Oreochromis niloticus: one gene and its partners. The protein of the gene in region 2 purifies or fractionates together with the protein of the main gene of each other region. This does not show direct contact. Links are inferred from orthologs where the notes say so. Each region holds a gene or a part of one and is shown on either strand. Other genes may lie near its edges.

The links.
Region 1: the proteins of xiap (region 2) and xaf1 purify together in Homo sapiens (affinity purification with western blotting; 5 studies listed by BioGRID). This does not show direct contact. The link is inferred for Oreochromis niloticus from reciprocal best matches to the Homo sapiens genes XIAP and XAF1.
Region 3: the proteins of xiap (region 2) and map3k7 purify together in Homo sapiens (affinity purification with western blotting; 3 studies listed by BioGRID). This does not show direct contact. The link is inferred for Oreochromis niloticus from reciprocal best matches to the Homo sapiens genes XIAP and MAP3K7.

The regions. Positions count from the first base shown.
Region 1 is NC_031979.2:5,882,712-5,886,464, reverse strand, and holds the start of xaf1 (XIAP-associated factor 1), read left to right. Parts: upstream 1-1,110; 5' UTR 1,111-1,229; coding exon 1,230-1,267; intron 1,268-2,102; coding exon 2,103-2,238; intron 2,239-2,783; coding exon 2,784-2,840; intron 2,841-3,373; coding exon 3,374-3,599; intron 3,600-3,704; coding exon 3,705-3,753. UniProt on the Homo sapiens protein: Seems to function as a negative regulator of members of the IAP (inhibitor of apoptosis protein) family. Inhibits anti-caspase activity of BIRC4. Induces cleavage and inactivation of BIRC4 independent of caspase activation.
Region 2 is NC_031966.2:30,959,634-30,963,386, reverse strand, and holds the start of xiap (E3 ubiquitin-protein ligase XIAP), read right to left. Parts: upstream 2,901-3,753; 5' UTR 2,744-2,900; intron 672-2,743; 5' UTR 623-671; coding exon 383-622; intron 274-382; coding exon 1-273.
Region 3 is NC_031980.2:29,212,408-29,216,160, forward strand, and holds the start of map3k7 (mitogen-activated protein kinase kinase kinase 7), read right to left. Parts: upstream 2,785-3,753; 5' UTR 2,523-2,784; intron 2,456-2,522; exon of another isoform or gene 2,152-2,455; intron 2,025-2,151; 5' UTR 1,998-2,024; coding exon 1,905-1,997; intron 1,787-1,904; coding exon 1,676-1,786; intron 1,598-1,675; coding exon 1,532-1,597; intron 1,453-1,531; coding exon 1,407-1,452; intron 1-1,406. UniProt on the Homo sapiens protein: Serine/threonine kinase which acts as an essential component of the MAP kinase signal transduction pathway. Plays an important role in the cascades of cellular responses evoked by changes in the environment.

The DNA of each region.
Region 1 (3,753 bases), on a different chromosome or scaffold from region 2:
GCAGCACTGATGCTAATTACAAACGTTCAATCAAATGGCACCGTTGCCAGTAAAAACAGAAACATGAACAGCTTATCCTGTCATTGTAGTATTGTAGTATTATTGTCCCCAGTGCCCTCCAACCCTCCCACCCATCCCCTGCACCTCTGTGTGAGTTCGGTCTCTTGTTAAGCCTCCTGGAGCTGGTTCCGGAACCTAATCACCTCCTCACTGGAGGCCCGCTGCTCTTCTTCTCTCTCTTACATCAGTGTTGCCAGCTGCCACAGCAGAGGAGCTGCATGGGGAAAAACTGAGAGAAGAACATCTGGTTCAAACAAGAGTCAAATTCCAGCTCTTCTTTCTTTTGGATAACAACCATCGTTGTAACAAATCGCTAAATTCCACCTTGTCTCATTTAACAGGATTACCTGTATTACCTGTGTGAGAATGATGCAGTTTTCTCTCCGTGTGCAAGTGGAAAATGGTGAGATTTAGGATGTGCAACAGACTAAGAGTGTCACACACCACACTCACTAAAGAGTGCAATTCTTGCCACAACATGATCTCCTCTCAGAACGCCCAGCACTTCCTCTGGGGCACTTACAGGTGCTGAGTGGGATTGATCCTCTTTAGGAATCCCTGGGTTTGGTCCCTAGATATGACCAGTTGGGATGTGTCTGTAACAAGAGCTGCAGACTCTTCCTCAGCCAACAACAGGTCCTGTTGTTGTTGTCACATCCTGTATGGATGTGCTCACTTTAGAACTATCTATCACATTTTAACAAAGAGTAAACCGATAAGTGAAATTTAGGAGAGAGTATGACTTGTTAAGTATTGTTATACCTCTTTCCACAGTCAACCAGAAGAATACAGTAACATCAGATATAATCATGTATTCATATATTCATCACATATTATTGTATATATATACATGTGTTATTTTTCACTACATGTTTTAAGGTGGTAAATGTTAAAATATTAATAAAAATGTAAATAAAAACACGTCCCTAAATAAGTAAGGAGTAATTTCGTAACAAAGCGGTCAAATTCAATAAATTGAATATGTACAAACTGAAACTGCCACTGAAAACATATTTAGAACTCGCGCTCGCCCCTCTGTGGCAGGTGTCCGCAATAGCAACCTGTAAACAACCGCTAGATGTTTTCACTTTCTTTTTTGGGGAAGCAATACCCAAGTTGTGAGAGCAGTCAGACATTTCAGATTAATCTTCCACACTCGGATCATTTTTATGGAAGACAAGGAGGCAACACGCACCTGCGGCCAGTGGTGAGTTAGTGTCATGTGACAGCTTTGTCTGAAGTGGAACTTTCATTTAAAAGTTGTACTTTTAAATGATTGTTTACAATTAATTTGATAACCGGAAAGTGAATGTGAATAAACCACCACGTAAGGTGAAGAGATTGGAGTCAAAAAACTGAACAGAGTGAGTGTCAGAATGGCAATTATGTCACAAAGAAAGAGACACATTGTCCTGATCTGCTCATATATAAAAGTCTTTGTTAGAAGTTTGCAAACCAAGTATGGTTTCGGTGACTGAAAAGTGATATGGAACGGTAAAATGCTTTAAAACTGTTTTCTAAAGAGGGCTCAGTCTCAGAAAGCTAGAGTCAGTCCACCCTTTCACTGTGTATTAAGCCCATACTGCGCTCTGCTTCAGTTAAGCTGCTGCTTAATGGAAACTGCGTGAGTACGTCGCACAGTCTGACAGTTTATGTGAATCACAGGCAGTCTTAGTTTCGTTTTCAGGAAGGCTCTCTCTAATAAAGATATGACCTACTGTTACTGCTTCACTGGATAAGGTGTGTCTCATCTCTAACTGATTGTAAGCAATAATAAATCAGCATATTTTTCTCCTCTCGACCACTGAACACTTCCCTGTGCTTCTACTGTGTTAACATGTAGCAGGACAGTCCAAAAAAGAGAGTCCAGCTGTATTACAGGCAGGGCATACCTGTCACCTCCTATAGTCGCATTCAGTAGGACAGCTGAGCACAGAAATGTGGTTCTCGGGTACATACTTTATATCTGTGTTTGTTTGTTTTTGAATCTAACTTCCCTCGCTACAAAATGACATACGTCTTTCCTTCTTTTGTGGTTTAAGCCACAAAGAGGTTGCTGAAGCCAACTTCGCTCTACATGAGACGCACTGCAGCCGATTCCTATGTGTCTGTCCGGACTGCAATGAATCAGTTCCCAGGGATCAGCTGAAGGAGCACAGAGAGGAACAGCATGCAGAGGTACAAACACGGTGAAGCCGTTTATTCACACACATCCACTTCATGGAGATCAGCATCGGTCCAGAGGCCACATACAGAGTGCTGTCATTTCCTGCGCGTTGGTACACCCTTTTTTACCTTTTGTGCATCAGCATGTGTCTGTGTAGTGAGCAGTTTGCATATTTGCCGAACAAGTGACTGCTCGCTAGTTCAGTCCTAGGGGGAGATATAAATGCTTTTGGGGGTCATGTCAGGAAGATCATCAGGTGTAAAAAAAAATGTGCCACATCAAACACTCCCTGGATCTCCCTGCTGTGGTGACCCCTGGTGAATAAAAGGAAGCAGCTGAGAGTAGTTTTGTGTATCAGGGATGGATCCCTCAATTATTGGGCAAAATGTAGGTAACAACTCAACATGAAGGCAGTGAGATTTATGAGCTATTCCAGTGTTTACTTTGTTTTAAAAAGAGTTGGTGTTCTTACAAAGTGAAAAAGTAAAACACGTACACGACGCACAGACACAGCACCATGCATTCTATGTAAATCTGCAACTTTGCTTGTTATCAGGTGAGCTGCTCCAAGTGCAACAAGAAGATGGAACGTTGTCAGCTGATGGATCATGAGGTGAATCCAACACCACTACTTAGGTAGACATTCAGACACATTAGAACAACATAGTGACAAATCTGCAGCTGTGGTCAGAAGGTTACATTCACTCATCATCATGGGCATGGATGTCAAGGTGATTTGGGGCTTTTAATCATTTATTAAATCTATTTTGGATTTTCTCAAAGCCACTCAAGATTACACATATACAGGCTCAAATATTTACATGCACCCCACTAATATTTGATTAAATGTGCCTTAACAAGTAGCACTTTGCACTCAGTTTACTTTACTTTGAGTAAGTTGAGCTGAAGGTTGCACAATGTCCTTTTGACAAGCTTAAGCTCTAGCTTGCCATGAACTGGAAAGTGCTGGAACACCACCATCACTGTCAATGGTGAAGAGAGTTCAGTACATCGCCATGGACTGAGATGGTTCTGACCAAAACAGAATCCACACCTTCATGCTCAAGTTAAACTTGCAGCTGCCCACATGGGCGAGCCCTAGTTATCCTAGTTATCAGTCTAACTGTGCTTTTCACTGTCTCACAGGCTGATGAGTGTGTGGAGCGTCTGCAGGCATGCCAGTTTTGTGACCTGGAGGTGCCATCGAAGGAGCTGGACGGACACAGCTTGGTGTGTGGGAGCCGCACTGAGCTCTGCAGAGACTGCGGCTGTTACGTCAGACTGAGAGACCAACCCAGTCATGGCTTGACCTGCTCAGTCACTGAGAAGTCATCAAGTCCCCTACAAGCGACCAGCAGGGCACTCAAAGAGAGTAAGAGAATAATAGATTCAGCAAAAATCTCAGTAAACCTCAGTGCAATTTTATCTCTTGCTATTATCTCCTGCATGCTAACGCTTGGCGTGCTTCTCTCAACAGCAGAAATATCAGTGAATTGTACCAGATGTATGGCATCATTTCCAGTTGC
Region 2 (3,753 bases):
AACCTTGTCACCCTGCCCCACGTAAAAGAAACCGGCTTGGGCCAGATCTCTGGGTCTCACCGGAGCACTGTTGGGCCAAGAAGAGAAGGTCCGAAGTCGGGCTTCTTCATTTCTCATGTGAGGAAATATAGGGTAGGTGGCCTCATCAACCACTTCTCCTGTTCTCAAACGATATTCCATGTCTCCTACTTCTTCACTGATTACTGCAGTATTGGAATTCTGGTTAAAACTGGTACGGTGGACGCAGGTAAGAAACATGCATGATGGAGAAAACTGTGAGAATGAGAAAAGTAGAATTGGATCAATGTGGAAGAAAACCAAACAGACAAAAAAAAGTGAAATATTAACCACTTCGACTTTTTCATGTTACAAGTTTGATTACCTGCATGTGCTTGTCTACAGGTCTGTCTCCTCTGTACCAATTATCCACAGTCATATTACAGCTGAAACAGCGGACACGGTCAGACTCGCCGGTGTAGAAGAAACCAGCCTGTGCCAGTGTTTCCGCAGGCACCTTGTTAGCAAGGTTGGAGCCACGGAATGAGTCTATGCGTCTTTTCAACGAGGAAAAATCAGGCGCATTGTCCGTCTCCCAAACGCCATCTTCACTTACATCACACATGATTGAAACAGGAAGCTGTAGGGATTTGTTAACTTGATGGACAGATGATCTGCAAATAGAAAGAAACAGAATATGTTTGTTGGTTTTTGGTTTTTGTTTAAACGGTACAGTGTCCTCATTTGCTTGTTTGTTTGTAAACAGACACTTCAGTGGTTAAATTCCCGCATTTCCATGTCTGGCGCCAGAGAGCCAATCTGCACATCTGCAGGGTCTCTGTACCTTTAAGAGAATGCCAGCCTGTTATCACATGCAGGAACTGAATGTTCCATGTGAGGGATGGGCACTGGAGAGGCAGGTTTGTCTACAAACACAGTGCATATTAAACCACGTAAAAGGTTATACCGCTTGAAGATACAATGCAGCAGAGACCTCAAACAAAAGGCCCAGGGGCCAGAAACAGCCTGGCAAAGGCTCCAATTCAGCTCGCCGGACAGCTTTGGAAAATGTGAAAGAAGGAATATATTTTGGGCTTTTGACTGTAGTTTTACTGCTTTTCCTATTGACAGAGACCTCCCCATTCATAATACACCAAAGTAATTAAGTAATAGATAAACAATTAAATGACAGAATAGTTCCTGTTTTTTCTGTCTACAATAATAATAATAATAATAATAATAATAATAATAATAATAATAATGTCTGTTTTTTCTTTTCAAAAGGTCTCCAGAGTTTTGTTTTGTTTTTTAAAGAGAGGAGGCAAGCATTTTCTGTGAATTAACAGAAACTTTCTCCTTTACAATTACAGTACAGTCTGAGAAATGAGCTGCCAGAACTTCTGAAAGTTTATGCATTTATCCCTTACAATTTAACCCTGGAGAGCTGTGCTGACAGATTTTGTTTTTTGTTTTTTAAATCTACTGCAGCAGTGTTTCTATGGCCTGAAGAAAATTTGAGAAGTACTGTTGAAATCACCCTTCTTTGATACCTCAAGGATGAGATTTTGCAGTTAAACTTCTTAAGGCTGAGAGTAAGGGCAGTTTCACTGGGTTTGAGGTCTAAAGTTAGCTTGTATGTGGCCTTAGAAGAAAAATGAGTTTGACATCCTTGCAATGCAGAATATGAGGAAAGAGAGCAACCTAAGGATGATATGCAGCAGTTTAAAGCACAAGCCACAAAATAACACATCAGTATTACTGCTGAAGCAGTAGAGAGGTGTGGTAATTTAATTTAGGAGCTCACCTTGTGCATTACCAACAAGTAAATCATGTAGCAACACATCATGAGAAGCACGCCTTACTGCCTCTTATGTTAAGGGTTTGACTTGTTAACGCCTTCGCATTGCTGTAACATAACTCAATGCTTTTCTGCGTGAAACTATGATTTCAGAATCTTCACATTCCTCAGCGTCATTCAGTGTCACAGCTTGACGCAAAATGGACTTATCATCCAACGACAGCACACAGTCGCCGATTAAACAACCGTTTAATCGGTGACTGCGTGCTGGGTCAGTTGCTTAAACAGCTGTTTATCAGCTGATCCGTTGCTGTATTGATGGGATGCGATCTTTGAACTGTCTTTACGTGTCTGCATTATTTCAAGTAAATCAATCGCCAGCGTCATCCCTTTATTTATTTATTTTTTTTTAACTTGAGCCAAGACTGCATCGTCCCACGCATTAAAATACTCACTTTTTGACTGCGCACGACATCTAACCGAAAGTAAGCGACAGGGGAGTTTTCCCCATTAGCAGTTCCACGTGTTGCTTTTAGTATGTATTAATGATCAGATTGGCGACGATTTGACCCCCCAGCAAATTCCACAAAGGCCTCACAGCTTTGCTTCAGTTGAAAGCGACACAGACGCCGTACTGTTTCTGGGAAACGCCGAGAGCAACAGCGCTGATGACAGCAAAGACCTCGCTAAACCCACACCGTGTTTTCGTTCAGTTAGAAATTAGTCAATACAGTTACCTAAAGGTGCTTTTATATGTAAAATGTAAACACCCAAGACGACAATCTTGGACTCTGACCTGTGCTTTTGATCTGTACTGCTAGGCTCGTAAGCGGAATCGCGAATGCTAGCTTCAGAGTGCTTGGTAGCTACATTAGCTTAGCCTTTTTACGCAACGCTAGCTAGGTCACACAGTGACATATCGAATATAATAACATTTTAAATGTTTACCTTTCAACACAGCTCCTCTGTTTTCTCCAGTCAGTGTAGAGTGTGAACACCTCGGAAAGGAGACTCCGGTGAAGTCTTTTGTGACCTCCCTGTCAGGAAGTGAAAACCACCTAATCAGGTGACGTCAGGAAAGGGTTGTGGCCTGGTGGTTTTCCAGCAATATCTGTGTTTGCCCAGATATCTTGGAAAAAGAAATTTTTGATGTTAATTATTTTTTTTAACCTGGATTACTTATATAAGAGTCATCTTGCATTTAAAAATGCAGCTTCTACGTTCTGATCAGAATGGGGGGTTTTTTTCGCTCAAAATGGCTTAGGAGAGCTATGTTTATAAGCCAACAAGCTACATTTGTAGTCCGTTTTCTGATTTGGTTGCATTTCAGCTGTCAGCTACGCTGTTTAATTTAAATGTATCTCCTATCTAATCCGCCAGTCACAGGGCAGCAAGTCAATGCACTTAGGAAAATGGCAGAAATGGTAAAAACGACCTCAAACTGAGCATCAGAATGGGGAAGAAGGGTGATTTAAACACGGCTGCTGGTGCAAGATGGGCAAATCTGATCATAAACTGCTAATCTACTAGGATTTTCCTGCAATACTGGTATTTAATAAATAAATAAACAAAAAAGAAGAAAAACTATTCAATGAATGCCAGTTCTCTACACAGATTGTTTCAAGCTGCTAAGAAGGTACACGCAAGGTATGAAGAAGCGCATACTCTGGTATGAACGCCACACCTCGGTATGTTGTTCTTTGTAATGTATTGAACACACAATGAACTTTGAGGTAGATGAGACTCAGCAGTAGACTACACCTGATGGCACTCCTTGTCAGCTGAGAACATGTTTGTACATTTGGATTAAACAAGATAAGATAGTGGATCCAGCCTGGCTTTTATCAGTGGTCCAAGCAGCTGCTGATGATGCTGAAATGGCACACTTTTGGCCTCTTAATACCAAAGGAAAATAATTTAAATGGCACAGCCTACTGAGTATTGTTGCTCTCCATGGC
Region 3 (3,753 bases), on a different chromosome or scaffold from region 2:
GGACTTTTCAATAGTTCTCAGCGTTTGTTATCTTTGCAATGTCCCACAAAACTATGTCCAAAAATGTAGTTTATGAAACAGTTTTATAAGCAAACCACTAAGAACAGCAAACTACTTTGTCCCAAAACCTCATCCAAGCAAACCTGATGGCCACGAGGGGAAAACTCCCAACTCACTGAAGTGTGACCTAGCAATTCAGCGAAATTTGCCCCCATAACAATTCTGGCAAATTGTAAGTACAACTGAGCGCAGAATATTTTATGAACATGATACAAATTAGTACTAACAGTGCCCTCCATAATGTTTAAGACACAAGTTTTTGAAGTTTTGTCTCTGAACGCTACCCACAATGAATTATAAATCAAACAGTCGAGCCTGAAGTGGAAACATTTTTAATTCAATTTTTTTTAAACAAAAAAATGGCTTCACTCTTGAGTTATCACATTCACAACATTTTCAAAAACTTGACCATTCACTTGAGGTCACCGAGATTTAAATTCGTCCCCCTTTTTCAGAGGTTCAAAATTTTCGAGACAACTAACTGATGAGTAGTTTCCTGGCCAGGTGAGGGCTGCTCCCCTCTTATTTCACGATATTTCATTTCTGAAGTGTTGAATTTGCTTTTCATGGTTTTTCACTGTATGAAAGTTAGGGGAAAAGAGATTTCGCAAGAAAGGGAAGAAAGAGAGGCCATTATTAGGCGTAAAAATTCAAATAAACCTGCCCCTATCGGACATCCAATAATTCCAGACTCTGCTGCTACATGATAACAAATTGCTTATAAAAGCACTCAGGGTAAACATAAGAAACAACAAGCCTAGACATACATGGGATAATAATGGTCGGCAAGACAGAAGCTCCTGCAGATTAATGCACTCCATTATGTGTTTTATCATCTGCATGGCAACAAGAGTGCCTATCAGCTGGTTCCCGATACTCCGGGAGGCGCATATATATATGTATGTGATATGTCTTTGTAACTTTTGAACTAAATATACAGTTTGATATTTACATTTGACAAAGTCTTTTAACTTATTTGAAAATGAGGCTGTAAGAAATATATGTATGCGATTTATTTGCAGAAGGTTTAAATACTCAATTTTCATTCTTACTGAAAATGTTAATTTAACTGTCTTAACTGTATGCACACAAATGATTTTTATACTGATCAATTTTATACCCCACCAGTTCTCAGGTCTATCTGAATATTTAGTGTAGGGGCTGCATGTCGCTGTGCAAACACGGACTTCTAACGAATCAGAAAAGTGGCTGAACATGCAAACAACTGGAGGATCAACTCAACAGGGCTGTGTCTGTCCAAAGCCGTGTTCATTACTAGCAAAGCAAAATAAATGGTATAACATGTAACACAACCATACTGTTTTCTAGTAAACATATTGACTCACCATTATATAATGATCCACCTTCTGCATATTCCATCACAAGGCAAACCTGAGGTGGAAAGAACACCATCAAAAACTCAAAATCAACCAAATAGACCAAATAGTCATTGTGATCCCAGTGAACTTACTGGATTATTGCAAGAGCCATACAGCTTCACAATGTTGGGGTGATTCACACGTGAAAGTTGTCGGAGCTGGAGATGAAAAGGAAAGGTTACACACAGGTAGGCTGTTGAAATAATCTTGAGAATATTTCAGTAACGAAAAAATACCTCAACAATAAAGGCTTTCCTCTCTGATTCACTCTCAATAGTCTTGATTGCAACATCTTTTCCTTTCCACTTGGCTTTGCAGACGACCCCAAAAGCTCCTCTCCCCACCACCTGAGAACAGGTAGTTAGCATCAAAGTTACACTCACTAGGTAAGAGCTTCATCGAGCTGATACTAACTCTTGTCATGCGCTAGTGACAAGGAAAACAGCAAAAATAATCACAAATTACCTCCTCAACTTCAATATCCTCATAATTGATTTCTTCAAAGGGATACCCAGGTGGTGTTTCAAGCATATCCGCTGGTGGTAACGATAGAGACATTACTAGCTTAGGTCAGCTAGTAACTTACTATGAAAACGAGCAAACAACACACAGGTAAAAAGCTCAATATTAATAAATATTAAATAAATCAGCACAGGGATACTTAGATAGGTTTCAAGACATCAATTGCAATTACGCAGTCGTATTTCTTTACCGTAACTGCGTAATTAAGACTGATGCCGTCAGGAGACATGGCTACTCAATAAAACAAACACGTTAAAGCCTTCAAAAATGGCAAATTGTCATTCCTTCGCCAGCTGTCAAGCACCGAAAAACGGATCGGCGTTAGCCTCCTGTCAGTTTCCTTGATGCAGTCAAGGCTAACCGCATAGCATAACTAGCTCAGTTCTGCAACTGCTACGAAAAACTACTGGTGAAAAGAAGTGTTTAAAGTTAGCTTTTTGCATAATTAAAGATCTGGGACGACAGAATAAGACCACACCATTCCTCACCAGAGTCTGACATTGTCACAACACAACCTTAAAAAAGACAAGCAATTCGAGGCCTGTTAAAATAGCAGCTTACGTTAGCTGGCTGGCCCGGTTGCTAGCTACCAGGACTTTCTTAGCTTCAACAATCCAACTCTTCGTAGATGACTTGTCACCACTGCCGGTTATGTGGACATGGGGAGATTTTCTACTATTCATGTAAGAATAAAACTGGAATAACGTCCATTTTTATAAAAACTCTTTTGTCTATCCACTTGACAAACAAGCATAACTTTTTGACAACTTGTGTAGCTGGCTTGCTAGGAATGTATTTTGATTCTTCGCAGGGGAGGGGGGTAGCTCCACCAGGAAGCGTGTGCGTATTGTAATTCTGTCCCCTGAAAACCAAAAAAGGTAGGGAAGCGTAATACATTAGCTTCAGAAAATGAAGCTATTTTTTTTCGTGAATTACTGACACAGTTAGTTCGGATATAACACACAAAGAAAAAGTAAGAAATTTGTGTTTGTGTGGAATATTTCTTTGTTGTAAAGATGTTTCTAGAACAATAAGTCCTAAACTAGGTCTCAGGACAAAGACAGTTGTTTGGTTGTTTAGTTTGTTTGAAAATGGATATTTAAAGGATTATTTCAGTTATATTTTCCGATACTTAATATTGTAAATAAAAATGTTGAAGCAGTAAAAATACTTTTATGCCATTTTACAGATTAGAACTTAAATTTACTTCCAAGATAACATATATTTTGTATTTGTATTTAGTGTAAGGTACCAGCAATCAATCTAAAAAAAAAAAAAGAAGAAGAATCTAAATACGTTTTCATTAAAAATGTGGCTTGCACATGTCATCGATCTTGCATGAAAGCAAAAAATTCTGTTTATCTAAGCAGAATATTGACCCAACATCTGCACAATCTTTTATTTTTAGGGCTGGCAGAATATAAGATTAAATACATCTTATTTTCTTACATTTACCTGCTGTGATCCAGGGCAGCTTTTCTCACTAGTTTGTCCAGTCTCCTTGCATCCTTGTTACTCATGCTGCCTCCCCAGCAGACTGCAGCATAGAACAGCACAATTGCCATCATAGACTGAAAGATCTTTAACATTTTACTTGTGATCAAGAGATTTTAGTTTTCTTAACAAAAAGAGGTAACTTTGCCCCTTTTTGTATAGGTTGGTATTTGGGGACCAGTTTAGATTGTTATCTAGGTATAATCTAGATATTTATATTTTGTTACCATCTCTATGTCCACCCCACAAACTTTCACAGGCTGAAGAGGGGGTCTGGGATTCTTGAGAAATCTACTCT